Linked DNA regions of Yarrowia lipolytica. The protein of the gene in region 2 interacts with the protein of the main gene of each other region in a pairwise test. Links are inferred from orthologs where the notes say so. Each region holds a gene or a part of one and is shown on either strand. Other genes may lie near its edges. The genes, in order: YALI1_E23348g, YALI1_A20849g and YALI1_D14915g.

Region 1 (5,172 bases), on a different chromosome or scaffold from region 2:
CCTTCTACGACCTCAAGACCGACAAGGTGGTGGTCAGCGTCCAGGGCACCCAGGTGGGACCCATCAAGGTCGACAGCGGCAAGACCGCGGCCCTGACCCACCAGTTCGAGACCAACCTCGATGCCAAGGTCTACCGAAACGTCATCCAGGTCTACATCCAGTACGGCAACGAGGTGTACCAGGTGCACGCCTTTGACGGCCCCGTGTCGATTGTCGACCCCTATGTTTCTCCTCTGTCTTTCAAGTTCCTGTTTGCCCAGATTGTGCTGGGAATCACCGCCGCTGCTCTGGGATACTACGTTGTTAACGTGTACGCCATCCCATACGCTACCGGCACCTACGGACAGGAGAAGAAGCCCGTTCGAGCCAAGCCTGTGGTTCCTGCTGGCTCCGGCGTCAAGACTGGACCCAAGGGCTACGATGAGAGCTGGATTCCCAAGCACCATCTCGACCAGGAGAAGGTCAAGGTGAAGAAGAGAAGTTAAGCTGAGCCATGACCAAGGTTTGCGTGACAGATTTTTTCTTTTCCAAGCACACCTGTTGGTGGCGGACGTTAATGGATTGTGACACTCGTGTTGTCTGCTGACATTGATAACTCCTGCTGTCAATAGGTGTGTCCTGGTTACTTACTTGTTGATGACACTAAATAGCTAATTTATGTTGTACGTATTGCAACAGTGAAGAGTTGCGCGGCGACTCCACCGAGCGTTTTCGGGGTTTCCGAGCAGAAAAATGGATCTATCGATACTATCCCGTATCTCCGACAACGTCTGGTTGTATATGAGACATTGTTAGTTGAATAAGATGTGGTCGTCATCTAGGAGCCTAATAATACAATATATCTGCCGTTTTGGTCGTTGGAAGGCGGGAGTATGTCGAGGGACTGGTAGCTGGTGTTGAGGAGATTGTTTTGGTCAACTGTTTGCTTGATTTGGTCAAGTTTTGGTGTTGTGGTTGGTTGGTGGTGGAGATAGAACCAGTCATGAGGTTGTTGGAGGCTTTAGATGGCGCAAGTGTCTGGAAGGAGGAGTTGATAGTATTGATTTTGTATTGGCTGATTAATTCCATTGACGGATGCTATAACAATGAGTAATCAAGTCCTGAGAGTCTCTTCTTAGTCATGGCATTGTTGTGTGGAGGGACAGATGGAGCTGCAACAGATATATTACTCAACATGTTGAAGATGTTGCCAAAGGTGCTCAGATGTCGCCAAAAGGTGCTTCAGATGTCGCCCAAAGGTGCTTCAGATGTCGAATGTTCCTCCTGTCCACATCTCTGACAATCTGCGATGTCTTATTCACCAGTTGTAACAGATGCGACATGAGAAAGTTCCTCTCTAGCACTCTCTAGGCTAGTTATTCCATATTGAACATCTTCCGACATGTTTTTGTCGATTCTGTCGATTCTGTCGGTTACTTCTTCTGGACTCACTCTAGAAGCTAAGTAAATGTCAACTCCATCTGTCCACATATTAACCAAAAAACGTCTTTCTGTACCCCATACTGTCAATATTATTACACATTTGTTAAAAAATGAGCCATTTCCTATCATTTAATCCACTTTCAGCGTTGCTCAGGTTCCTGTAACCCCGAAATAGCACCCCCAGCACACGTTTTTTCTCAATTGTTCTTTCAACTAAATCAAACTTGCATTATGTAATACAAAAAACACCACTCACTCATGGACTCGTCCGGGTAAGTCGTCTCCCAAATTTGCCAGAGCCACTCAAAGTTTGAGAGTTTATTTTGTATGACAGATCCGCCATGGAAATCTAGCCAGTCAGTATAAACAGGTAACCGAAGGATTTTTTGCGCCGTTAAAGAAATTTATTGGGTATTTTTGCCACTCTCTCGAACCTCCAATTTCTCCTCTCTCGCTATCTCTTCTCAATCGCCCAACAAAGGCACCCTTCTTTCCACATCCTCCTACCCCCCCTCCTACCCTAACCCAAAATCGCACCGTAGTAGTGTCCTCTTGTCACCTCTACACATCTCAGTACACTACACCGACACCAAGACTCTCGACTCTCTCTTCGACATGTCTTTCTTCGGTATCGCACAGCCCAATCAGGGCAACGTGCAGGAGTACGAATTCGACGACACGTACGACGACAATCTTGGCGGACAGCTGGATGAGTCTGGCGACGCCTTCAACGACGAGACGTTTGGCGGCGAGGCGTCTGTGGGCCGGGATTTCGACTTCCACGGCGAAACGGCCAAAATCTCGTACGCCATTGACGAGGACCAGGTTGCCTACGAACGCCGGGCGCCTCAGCACGCCCAGATGCAGCACCAGCAGCAGCAGCATCAGCAGCGACAAGCTCCCCCTTCTCTGCAGCCCATGGCGTCTCTGTGGGGCGCTCCCGACCAGAAGGAGCGAATCATGGGCGACGAGGCCCAGCACGGCGGCCAGCAGGCCCAGCAGGCTCACCTGCAGCAGCAGCAGCACTACCAGCATGTTGCTGCCCAGCAGGGCGGTCAGCAGCCTCTGTCTCTGGAGCAGATTGAGGCGCAGCTGATGGGTCGACAGGCCCAGGCCCAGGGCCAGCAGCAGCAGCAGCAGCAACACGGTGTGCCTCCCCAGGGTCACGCTCCTCCTCAGGGCCACTTTCCTCCCGGGTACGGCTACCAGGGCTTCCCTCCTGGTTACCCTCCTCCCCAGGGACACCCCATGCAGTACCAGCAGCCCTGGCAGTTCCCTCCCCTGCCCAACCATGATCTCAACATGCAGATGATGATGCACTACCAGCAGCAGCAGCAGCAGCAGCAGGGACAGGGACAGTTCCAGCAGCCTCAGTTCCAGGGACAATCTCAGGGTCAGCCCCAGGTTCAGGTTCAGCAGCAGCAGCAGCAGCAGCAGCAGCCCCAGGCTCAGACTCAGGGTCAGCCCCCCGCTGTCGCTTCTCAGCCTGCTTCTCAGCAGCAAGCTGCCCCTCCTACCGCGCCCCTGGGCCCCAAGGAGGACAAGGCCATCCCTACCGCTCCTCAGGGCTTCCAGGGCCCTCCCCACTCGGGTCCCTACGGCTACCAGCCCGGCCCCGTGCACGTATCGCCCAACCACACGATCCCTCCCATGGATGAGAACGCGCGACTGGCCAAGCGAAATGAGATGATCAGCAAGCGAAAGCCACACAACAATCTCATGACCGGCGGTGACAAGGACTTTGTGCTGCGAGTCCAGCTCCAGCAGATGGTCACCGAGGACCCTTACAACGAGGACTTTTACTACCAGGTGCACTCGGCCATCAACGTGCGATCCAACCCCAACCAGCCGCTCGACGCCTTTGCGCGAACGTACCTGTACCAGCGGGGTCAGCGGGGCCGACGGGCCCGCGGCAACGAGAACGGCCTGCAACGTCTGCAGCAGCAGGTCCACAAGGCCGTGCAGTTTGTCAAGGACCACCCCAAGAAGGACTCCATTATCTCCCAGGGTGCTCTCGGTAAGATTCACCTTGGCAGCAACAAGGGTCCTCGACAGGCTCTCGACCTGCGAAAACGAGATGATACTCCCGACGCCGACAACTCTACTGAGGCTCCTACTGAGGGAGTTTCTGCCACCCCCGAACTTCGATCTGCTACCCCCGTGGCCACCACCACCACCACCACCGATGCCATTCGATCCATCACCACGTCAATCTCCAAGTTCAACCTTCAGGGCGGCTCGTACGTGTCTGCTAACGACAAGCGAGGTATTCTGCGGGCCATTGAGAACGTGTACATTGTGCTGCTACGTCTGGAGGCTGCAGAGAGAACCCAGCCCGAAGACGACCTGTCCGACGAGTTCCAGGTGTGGAAGGGAGAAAAAGACGCGCTGGTGACCCAGCTGTGGCGTGAGCTGCAGATTACTGCGCCCATCGACCAGGCCGACGGCTCGCTGCACCCCTTCATTGCCATGCTCTCGCATGCCAAGTGCAAGAAGGCCATTCCCCGAGTTTTCCGGCATATTTCTGCCGAGCAGCGGCTCACCATTCTGACCATGATCATGGCCCACATTGGCGATTTGGACGTGGTCAAGAATGGCCACTACAGCGGCGAGGAGTCGAACCTGCCCGCCAAGTCGCGGGAGGCCATTGAGGTCTTCTCTCAGACCGTCCTTCCTCCTCTGGTGCAGTACATTTCTGAGGCCGAGTACGGCGTCATTGTGGGTCTGCTGGAGTTGATGATGGATCGAAATGACACTGCTGCTGTTGTCAAGACCAAGGTTGGATCTGCATTTGTGACTGTTTTGATTTCCCGGGCCGAGCTGATCAACCAGGAGGGCTCTGTTTCTGCCGAAGATGAGGAGACCTGGAACCGCATTTTCAACCGTGTTTTCGGCATTGTTCAGCGCAACAATCTCAACTCCCTGTTCCCTCCTCGAAATGTGGACGATTCTTACGTGTGGCAGTTCCTGGCGTCCATCGCCTTGGCTGCGAAGATTGATCACCAACGTGTTATGGTTGACGATGTGCGGGACAAGATCTTTGGTACTATGAACGAGGCCAAGGCTCTTCCGCCAGATCTGTCGCAGCAGAAGATTAACAATCTGAACCTGTTCCTTAACGTCATGGGTCTCAATGCGACCACTTCGGAGATTGGTGAGTTGCAGGGGTGATTAGATGAGGGAGCAGTGGTTATGTAAAATAGGATTTTTGAGAAAAAGATGATTTGACCGTTTGACCGTGGTGAGCGTGTTAGATAGATAGGAGACGAGACTGCGTAGGGGCTCAGTGGAAAAGTTCATGATAGACATTGTGGAAGTGGTAGTACAACTAGACGGCGGCACGAAGGTACCGGACTGGCGTGGGAACTGGTTGGGAACCGGGGTCCCGAACTCAAGACTCTTCCAGTCTAGATTCAGAGTCGTCAACCAGGCTTCGAAGATATCCATTAGGGAGCATTTTGAAGAGTGCTGACATGGTATTGGCCTTTGATCTAGCGAAACATCTTTGGGCAAGGTCCATGAAGAGCACTGATGGTTACGCTCCAGGTCGACGGATGATGGCTACGGGACCCAGGATGCTCTGGTATGAGCACGAGGAAAAGGGAGCAGCAACTTCTGAGGTGTTTTGTCAACTTCTTGAGGTTTGTCAACTTTGAGAGTGTTTGTCAACTTCTGAGGTGTTTGGTCAACTTCTGAGCTCTGGAATCAGCAGCTTCATCCGTCATCTTCTCCAAGTCGCACGGTGGATAA
Region 2 (2,823 bases):
CAGATCCAGCGCAGTTCGACCGTCGGCATTGACGATATCTGTCTTGACATTGAAGTCCATGAGGGCACGGGACACCTTTTTGGCACCTGAACGGGCGAGAATATGCAGGGCGGTGTCGCCCTCGTTGTTCTGCGTGTCCATGAATTGTGACAGTACGCCTAGAGAGTGGTTCTCGCTAATTTTTGACAGCAAGATAGTCACGTAGTACTTGGCCGCGGACTGCGACTTGCTCACGTGCTGGGCAATGTGGTGAAGCACGGTTCTGCCCTGGCCGTCCACCTGAAACAGGGTGTCTTGCAAGATGTCCACCACTTTAGGGAAGGTTCTTCGGTCGTAGTTGTTAGTAAACATGATGGCCCTCGTCAAAGGTGTCTGGCCAAACATGTTGGTGGCTCGCACGTCCGATCCGGCCTTGAGCAGCAGCTCAATCACCCGCAGGTGGCCCATGGCACAAGCCCAATGCAACGCTGTATGGCCCTCCTCGTCAATGGGTCTGTGCACATCAAACTCTGCAGGTGGGTTTTCCAGGAACGCGGGGATCTTCTCGTCGTCAGCAGACACGAAGTAGTTGAGCAGGTCGTTGGTGTACAGATCCTTGGGGTCCCGTACCTGTATTGGCTTGGGCTTGGCCATCATGGGTCGAGGGTAGTTACCCATTTGTCGGTCAACTTCTTCATCGGACATGAAGTCGGACGAATCGTCAGCAACTGTGGGAGGCGATGGAGTCACGTGGTCGCTGTCGTCCAGTCCGTAAGACTGGGCCAGTTGGCTGAGAGACGACTGTCTAGAGTGTTGTGGAGTGCCTCCCATGGTGGATCCCGTTGACTGGGTGAGAGTCTCCATGCGACTGGGCTGGCGAACCAGAGGCGATCCCGTCACCTTGGTCCGCTTCTTGCGCTCCAGATTGGGTCTGTGTTTCGGTGCGGGAGGAGGTGAGCCATCCTCGTCGTCGTAGTTGAAGATGGGCGCAAGGTGTGAATCAACGTCGTACAGCGTGGCAATCTCTCTGGCCCGCTCCAGGGGGACCCACGTGCCCTGGTACTTGCCGTAGCCGCCCTGGACCTTTTCATGGACGCCCTTCTGGACCTCCTTTTCCAGAATCCGCGTTCGCTGAGGCTTGTCGAAGCCAGCGACCTTGAGGATGTGGGTAGCGTTGACCCAGCCGTCGGATTTGCGCCGCATCACGGCCACATTCTTACACTGGAACTCGTAGACGGGCACGCCCGAATACGTTGCTTTGTAGATGGACATGGTCGCGTAGTGCGTCGTCGTGTCGCGTTGGCGCAATAATGGGTTTCGGGTTTCGAGTTACCCTATGTGCTGTTTTGGACAACGAGAAAAGCCGTATGTGGGCTGGGTGTGCAGTATCGTAGCGAGGGTAATTTGGAGTCCCAGCTGGGAGGGAGCCAGATCAGCGGTTAGAGATATATAAATATATACTTGTTTGGCAGTGACAGAATGAATGTCGTGGGTGTGAGGGTTGCTTTTTTTTTTCTCTATATAAATCTCGTATGGCCTGCCCCTGGCGCTCCGCCTTACTTCTATTATCGTCTTATCCCTGCGGCAATTCCCAATTGGTGTGCACCTGAGTCCTTACAGCTCAGGTTACGTAATAGTTCCCACCACAAGCACACACCTAAACCATCATCACCCAACCCTAGCCCCAAAATATGCTTTTTCACCGCCAGCACCAACTGTCACCATAATCCACATCGATGGTGAGTATTGATACAGGCGTCCTGGGGCTCACGTGGGCCCCTCTCGATGCGATACGCACCGGCCCAACCGTGGGCAGACAGACCATGACTAACGCAGCTACCCTTATCCCTACTCAACGCAGCACAGGGTCAGCCCATGCTGGTGGAGCTCAAATCGGGCGAGTCCCTGAGAGGCCACCTGTTGAAATGTGACCACTGGATGAACCTCACGCTCAAGGAGGTCGAAGAGTTTTCTGCATCGGGCGAAAACACCGCCACCGTGTCCGAGTACTATGTACGAGGCTCCAACATCAAGGCTCTCCAGCTGCCAGACGAGCTACTGCACAGCATCAAGCAACAATACAGCCAGCAGCGGGAACAGCGACAGCGACAGCAGCAGCTGGAGCAGGGCGGCCAGTTTGGCAACCGACGAGGCAACCGAAACTACAACAACCAGAGCAACAACCCCAACCAGCGACAGCGAGGTGGAGGACGACGATATTAGACGTGTTTGTGTCCATGTTTGAACGCGAGCGCTGGCTACCGAAGGCCACGACCTTCCCCGATCTGCAGATGGCTACCATGTGTGAAGTTCCGCTTGATAGCCGCCATTCTGCCGATTAGTAATGTATTTTAGGAGATGATTGATCTAGGGGATTGTAGGTGGAGATAGTAGTAGCTGTAGACGAGTGGCGGTGATGGAATTGAGTACAATCGGCTTACGTAGGGGGACAGGCTTTGTACGTACTTGGATGATTTGGTTGCTTTCTCTGTGTCGCCACAAGTTCTCATTCGAATGTAAGTGATCACGTGGACAGAACTGTACCAGTACAAGTACAGGTGCCCGTGGAAGTAGCTTCTGTTGAGAGTTCCATTCTATTTTACAAGTAGTAATTGGTGGTGCCTGACTAGCTATAGAAGGAAACTTATCGTGGAACATGTGTGTGATAAAAAAGTTGGATGTTGGATCCTCGTCGTCGTTGAAAGTCTTTGTAGATGCATTACAATGGTTACCTTCTACCATCATACAACACCAATACCGATTCTTGTACACTCAGTGAGTTTCGGAGCAGAATTCTGTAGCTATTTACTGCAGTCCATTATCGCCATATTTGTTAGTTGCTAC
Region 3 (3,290 bases), on a different chromosome or scaffold from region 2:
TTAAAACAGCTGTTGACATATATATGTGTTTATAAGACCCATCAGGAATCACATTTACGTCTTATTTTCTACTCATAACCTGTAACTCCACGTCCGGGGGGTGCAGGCTACAGATTTCGAAACGCTAAAAACCGCCTTCGTGGCCAAGTGGTAAGGCGCAGCACTAGTAATGCTGAGATCATCAGTTCAAATCTGGTCGAAGGCAAATATATTTTTTTTGGCTTCCCTTTTCACGAAGACACCAGTACCGGCGGTATGGACTGCGCCCACGCGACTTTTGCTGTATGTGGGTCAGGATTTTTCTAGCGTGGGTTGGTTTGGGAGTGTGAACTTTAGTTGAGGTTTTAACTAAATTTAACAACATGGGGGTGTTGGTATTAGTTTGTTGTAGGGGTAAAAACAGCTTGATTTCCTTTTATTTTTTTGTTCAATATATTTCTACAACTGTCAGAGACATGTAAATATACGTCTAATTACCATGGACTGCTTGCATCCGTTAGACAACCCCAACAGGCAGTTCTCTTAACTAAACTTCCAACAAAGTCAACTACTGTACTTGTACTAGACCACAACCTGTAGCACACCTACTCAAGAGTAACATAATATATTGGGGTTGCTAGTTTTTTTGAAGAAACCTATCAAACCATACCATGTGAGAGGATTCCCAGAAATCATTCAAACCACTCTCGTCCCCCGTAACCGTCCTGTACTTGTTATCGCCTCGTTGCTCCATCCATTTTACATCCAATAACCACCACGGTGCTTCCTAAACCTAGAAGTCCACCAAGGTGTGTAGTGTTATCCCAATATATAATCTGTCATCAGCAAACGACATGGTATACGATACACGGTGGACACCACGATACGGAGGCACACACAGACACGGACACAGACACAGATACAGACACGGGCATAGACGCAGACACAAACCGACGAGACACAGAGACACAAATACAGATAGTATGGACAACACGGACAAACGACATGGTGGTGGAGTACGGTCATTGCACAACACACCCAGTTACCAACACTCAGACACAGAAGACACGATGAAGACAATTCCCCAATGATGAGCGAATCATCTTTTGCTACGTCACCGGTGCTGTAATTTCCGACTATCTCGTTCTATCTCATCTTTCGACAACTCGGCGATACTCATCAAGATAATGCCAATGCTATCTATCCACTATCAGAGCTTCGGATAAAAGTCGCAAATAAGAGAATAACCCAGTTTCATCCCACAGTGCTCACCTCCCCTCCCTCCCTCACCCCACTTTGATACCAGGGGAATATAGTGATATCCTCATCTCTTTCAACGATTACTACAGTTCAAGTATGTACCAACGCGATACCAATATGCCGACATCGAAGCGCTCCTGATTGATCCCACACCGTCCACAATATCCCAGAGTACCAGCAAGTACCTCGGCTGTCCCTTGACCAACGACTAGACAAATGAACAATCCCTACCCCCAAGAACAGCTCGATAACCACACTACGATATTTTCCATCGATACCCAGACGTTTCTACAACTACCCAGATGGGGCATTGGACGTTCGTCTACAGGATTACCCACATCCACCCACCATACATGCTGTCGATGCGCTTAGTAAGTTTGATGTCTCTTGCATCACAAGATCATGTCATCAGCCGCACAGCCTGTACCTCCTCACTGATCTTCAGCTCTTCGATTAGGCTTCTGTAAATGCAGCTAAAAAGTCCCGAACCCAATTTTTCCTGATTCTTGTTAATGCCCCAGTGAATCCTGCAGGCTTAGATTGGATATTCATGAGCATGGTGAGAAAAACGTGTCTAAGTGGCGCTTTTCTTTGCGTCCTCAGGGGTCTTCACTCAAAGCATCTAACCACTCACACCACTCTTGTCCTCTTTCTGCAGCTCTCGCAGCCTCCTACACCCCGCAAGCCCATTTAGCCTTCACTTACCCTACAGTGCAGTGTGAGGCCCAAGGTTTGAAATTTTTTAGAGAAGCGAGTCTTGATTTCTTGACGACGTTTGTTGTGTGAAGACGAAGAAGAAGAAAATGGAAGGACAGGCCCAGCAATTCCGAGGATACTCTCGAACATGCTTCAACTGTGAGTGTTTTGATTTTGTGGTGACAATGAGCAGACCCACGTCATGTTGTCGGGTGATATCACCTGGAGATTATGTCACATGTGTTTTTTTTCAACTTTACTAACCATCCAGGCGGTGAATTCGGTCACCAGGTGCGAGCTTGCCCCCGTGTGGGCAACCCCGTTTGCTACAACTGTGGCAACGACGGCCACATGTCCCGAGACTGCACTGAGGAGCCCAAGGAGAAGGCTTGCTTCAAGTGCAACCAGCCCGGTCACATCCTCAAGGAGTGCCCCCAGAACGATGCCATTGTCCACGACGGTGCTGCCCCCGTTGCCCCCAACGGTGAGGCCCCCATTGGTGGCGAGTTTGGCGCTCCTCGAGGCCCCTCCGGTGTCTGCTACAAGTGTGGCAAGCCTGGCCACTTTGCCCGAGCTTGCCGAAGCGTCCCCGCCGGCGGTGCTCCTCCCAAATTTGGCCGAACCCAGTCTTGCTATTCTTGTGGCGGCCAGGGTCACCTGTCCAAGGACTGCACCGTTGGCCAGAAGTGCTACAACTGTGGCTCCATGGGCCATGTTTCCAAGGAGTGCGGCGAGGCCCAGAGCCGAGTGTGCTACAACTGCAAGAAGCCCGGCCACATTGCCATCAAGTGCGATGAGGTCCGAGCTGCTTAAGCAGAGTTATGTATTATAGATATGACTGATTGAAGTGTAATAGAGTAGGGGGTGTAGTCATCACCATCACGAGCGATAGCTGGTGGTGCGAGTGATGCGAGTGAGTGTCAGTGAGAAGCGTAGAATACTTGAAACCATGTACAACGATCCAAACCAGGCAACAATAATGAGATACAGAGACATGCGATTTGAAACCACGGGAAGCGTTCGAAGCCCGAGAGAACGGATTGGCCGAGGATCAAACAGATCAGAGATGCACGAGGTACGAATAGCCCTGATTTCTGTGTTACTAGTTGAGCACCACCTGGATGTGTGCGATGGGATGGGTTTCCCCTATTGCACATGGTGGTACTTGTATGTCCAGTTGGTACCGTTCGTGAGAAAGATGGGTCATGGTACACTACTTGTAGTCATAAATGGTTGGAACACATTCAAGCCAGTCTTTTGCTGATCAGGGATCAAGTCCTGGGGTGTCTGAGAAATTCTAAAGGCTTGAGCTCATGTTGTAGTATGATACAAGTACAGCAGCAACGAGGTATCGA

Evidence for each region.
Region 1: the proteins of YALI1_A20849g (region 2) and YALI1_E23348g interact in binary tests that used the Saccharomyces cerevisiae proteins (3 or more experiments, as listed by UniProt). The link is inferred for Yarrowia lipolytica from reciprocal best matches to the Saccharomyces cerevisiae genes LSM4 and PAT1.
Region 3: the proteins of YALI1_A20849g (region 2) and YALI1_D14915g interact in a protein complementation assay, tested with the Saccharomyces cerevisiae proteins (2 studies listed by BioGRID). The link is inferred for Yarrowia lipolytica from reciprocal best matches to the Saccharomyces cerevisiae genes LSM4 and GIS2.

Annotation. Positions count from the first base shown.
Region 1 is NC_090774.1:2,332,794-2,337,965, forward strand, and holds YALI1_E23348g (uncharacterized protein), read left to right. Parts: upstream 1-2,037; coding exon 2,038-4,593; downstream 4,594-5,172. Other genes in the region: YALI1_E23325g (uncharacterized protein), read left to right, coding at 1-485. UniProt on the Saccharomyces cerevisiae protein: Activator of decapping that functions as a general and active mechanism of translational repression and required for P-body formation. First decay factor recruited to mRNA, at a time when the mRNA is still associated with translation factors.
Region 2 is NC_090770.1:2,083,864-2,086,686, reverse strand, and holds YALI1_A20849g (uncharacterized protein), read left to right. Parts: upstream 1-1,715; coding exon 1,716-1,718; intron 1,719-1,815; coding exon 1,816-2,202; downstream 2,203-2,823. Other genes in the region: YALI1_A20855g (uncharacterized protein), read right to left, coding at 1-1,251; YALI1_A20839g (uncharacterized protein), read left to right, coding at 2,636-2,745, 2,794-2,823. UniProt on the Saccharomyces cerevisiae protein: Component of LSm protein complexes, which are involved in RNA processing and may function in a chaperone-like manner. Component of the cytoplasmic LSM1-LSM7 complex which is involved in mRNA degradation by activating the decapping step.
Region 3 is NC_090773.1:1,489,501-1,492,790, forward strand, and holds YALI1_D14915g (uncharacterized protein), read left to right. Parts: upstream 1-2,042; coding exon 2,043-2,094; intron 2,095-2,206; coding exon 2,207-2,748; downstream 2,749-3,290. Other genes in the region: YALI1_D14910g (uncharacterized protein), read left to right, coding at 1,542-1,702, 1,761-2,025. UniProt on the Saccharomyces cerevisiae protein: May act in the sexual differentiation pathway.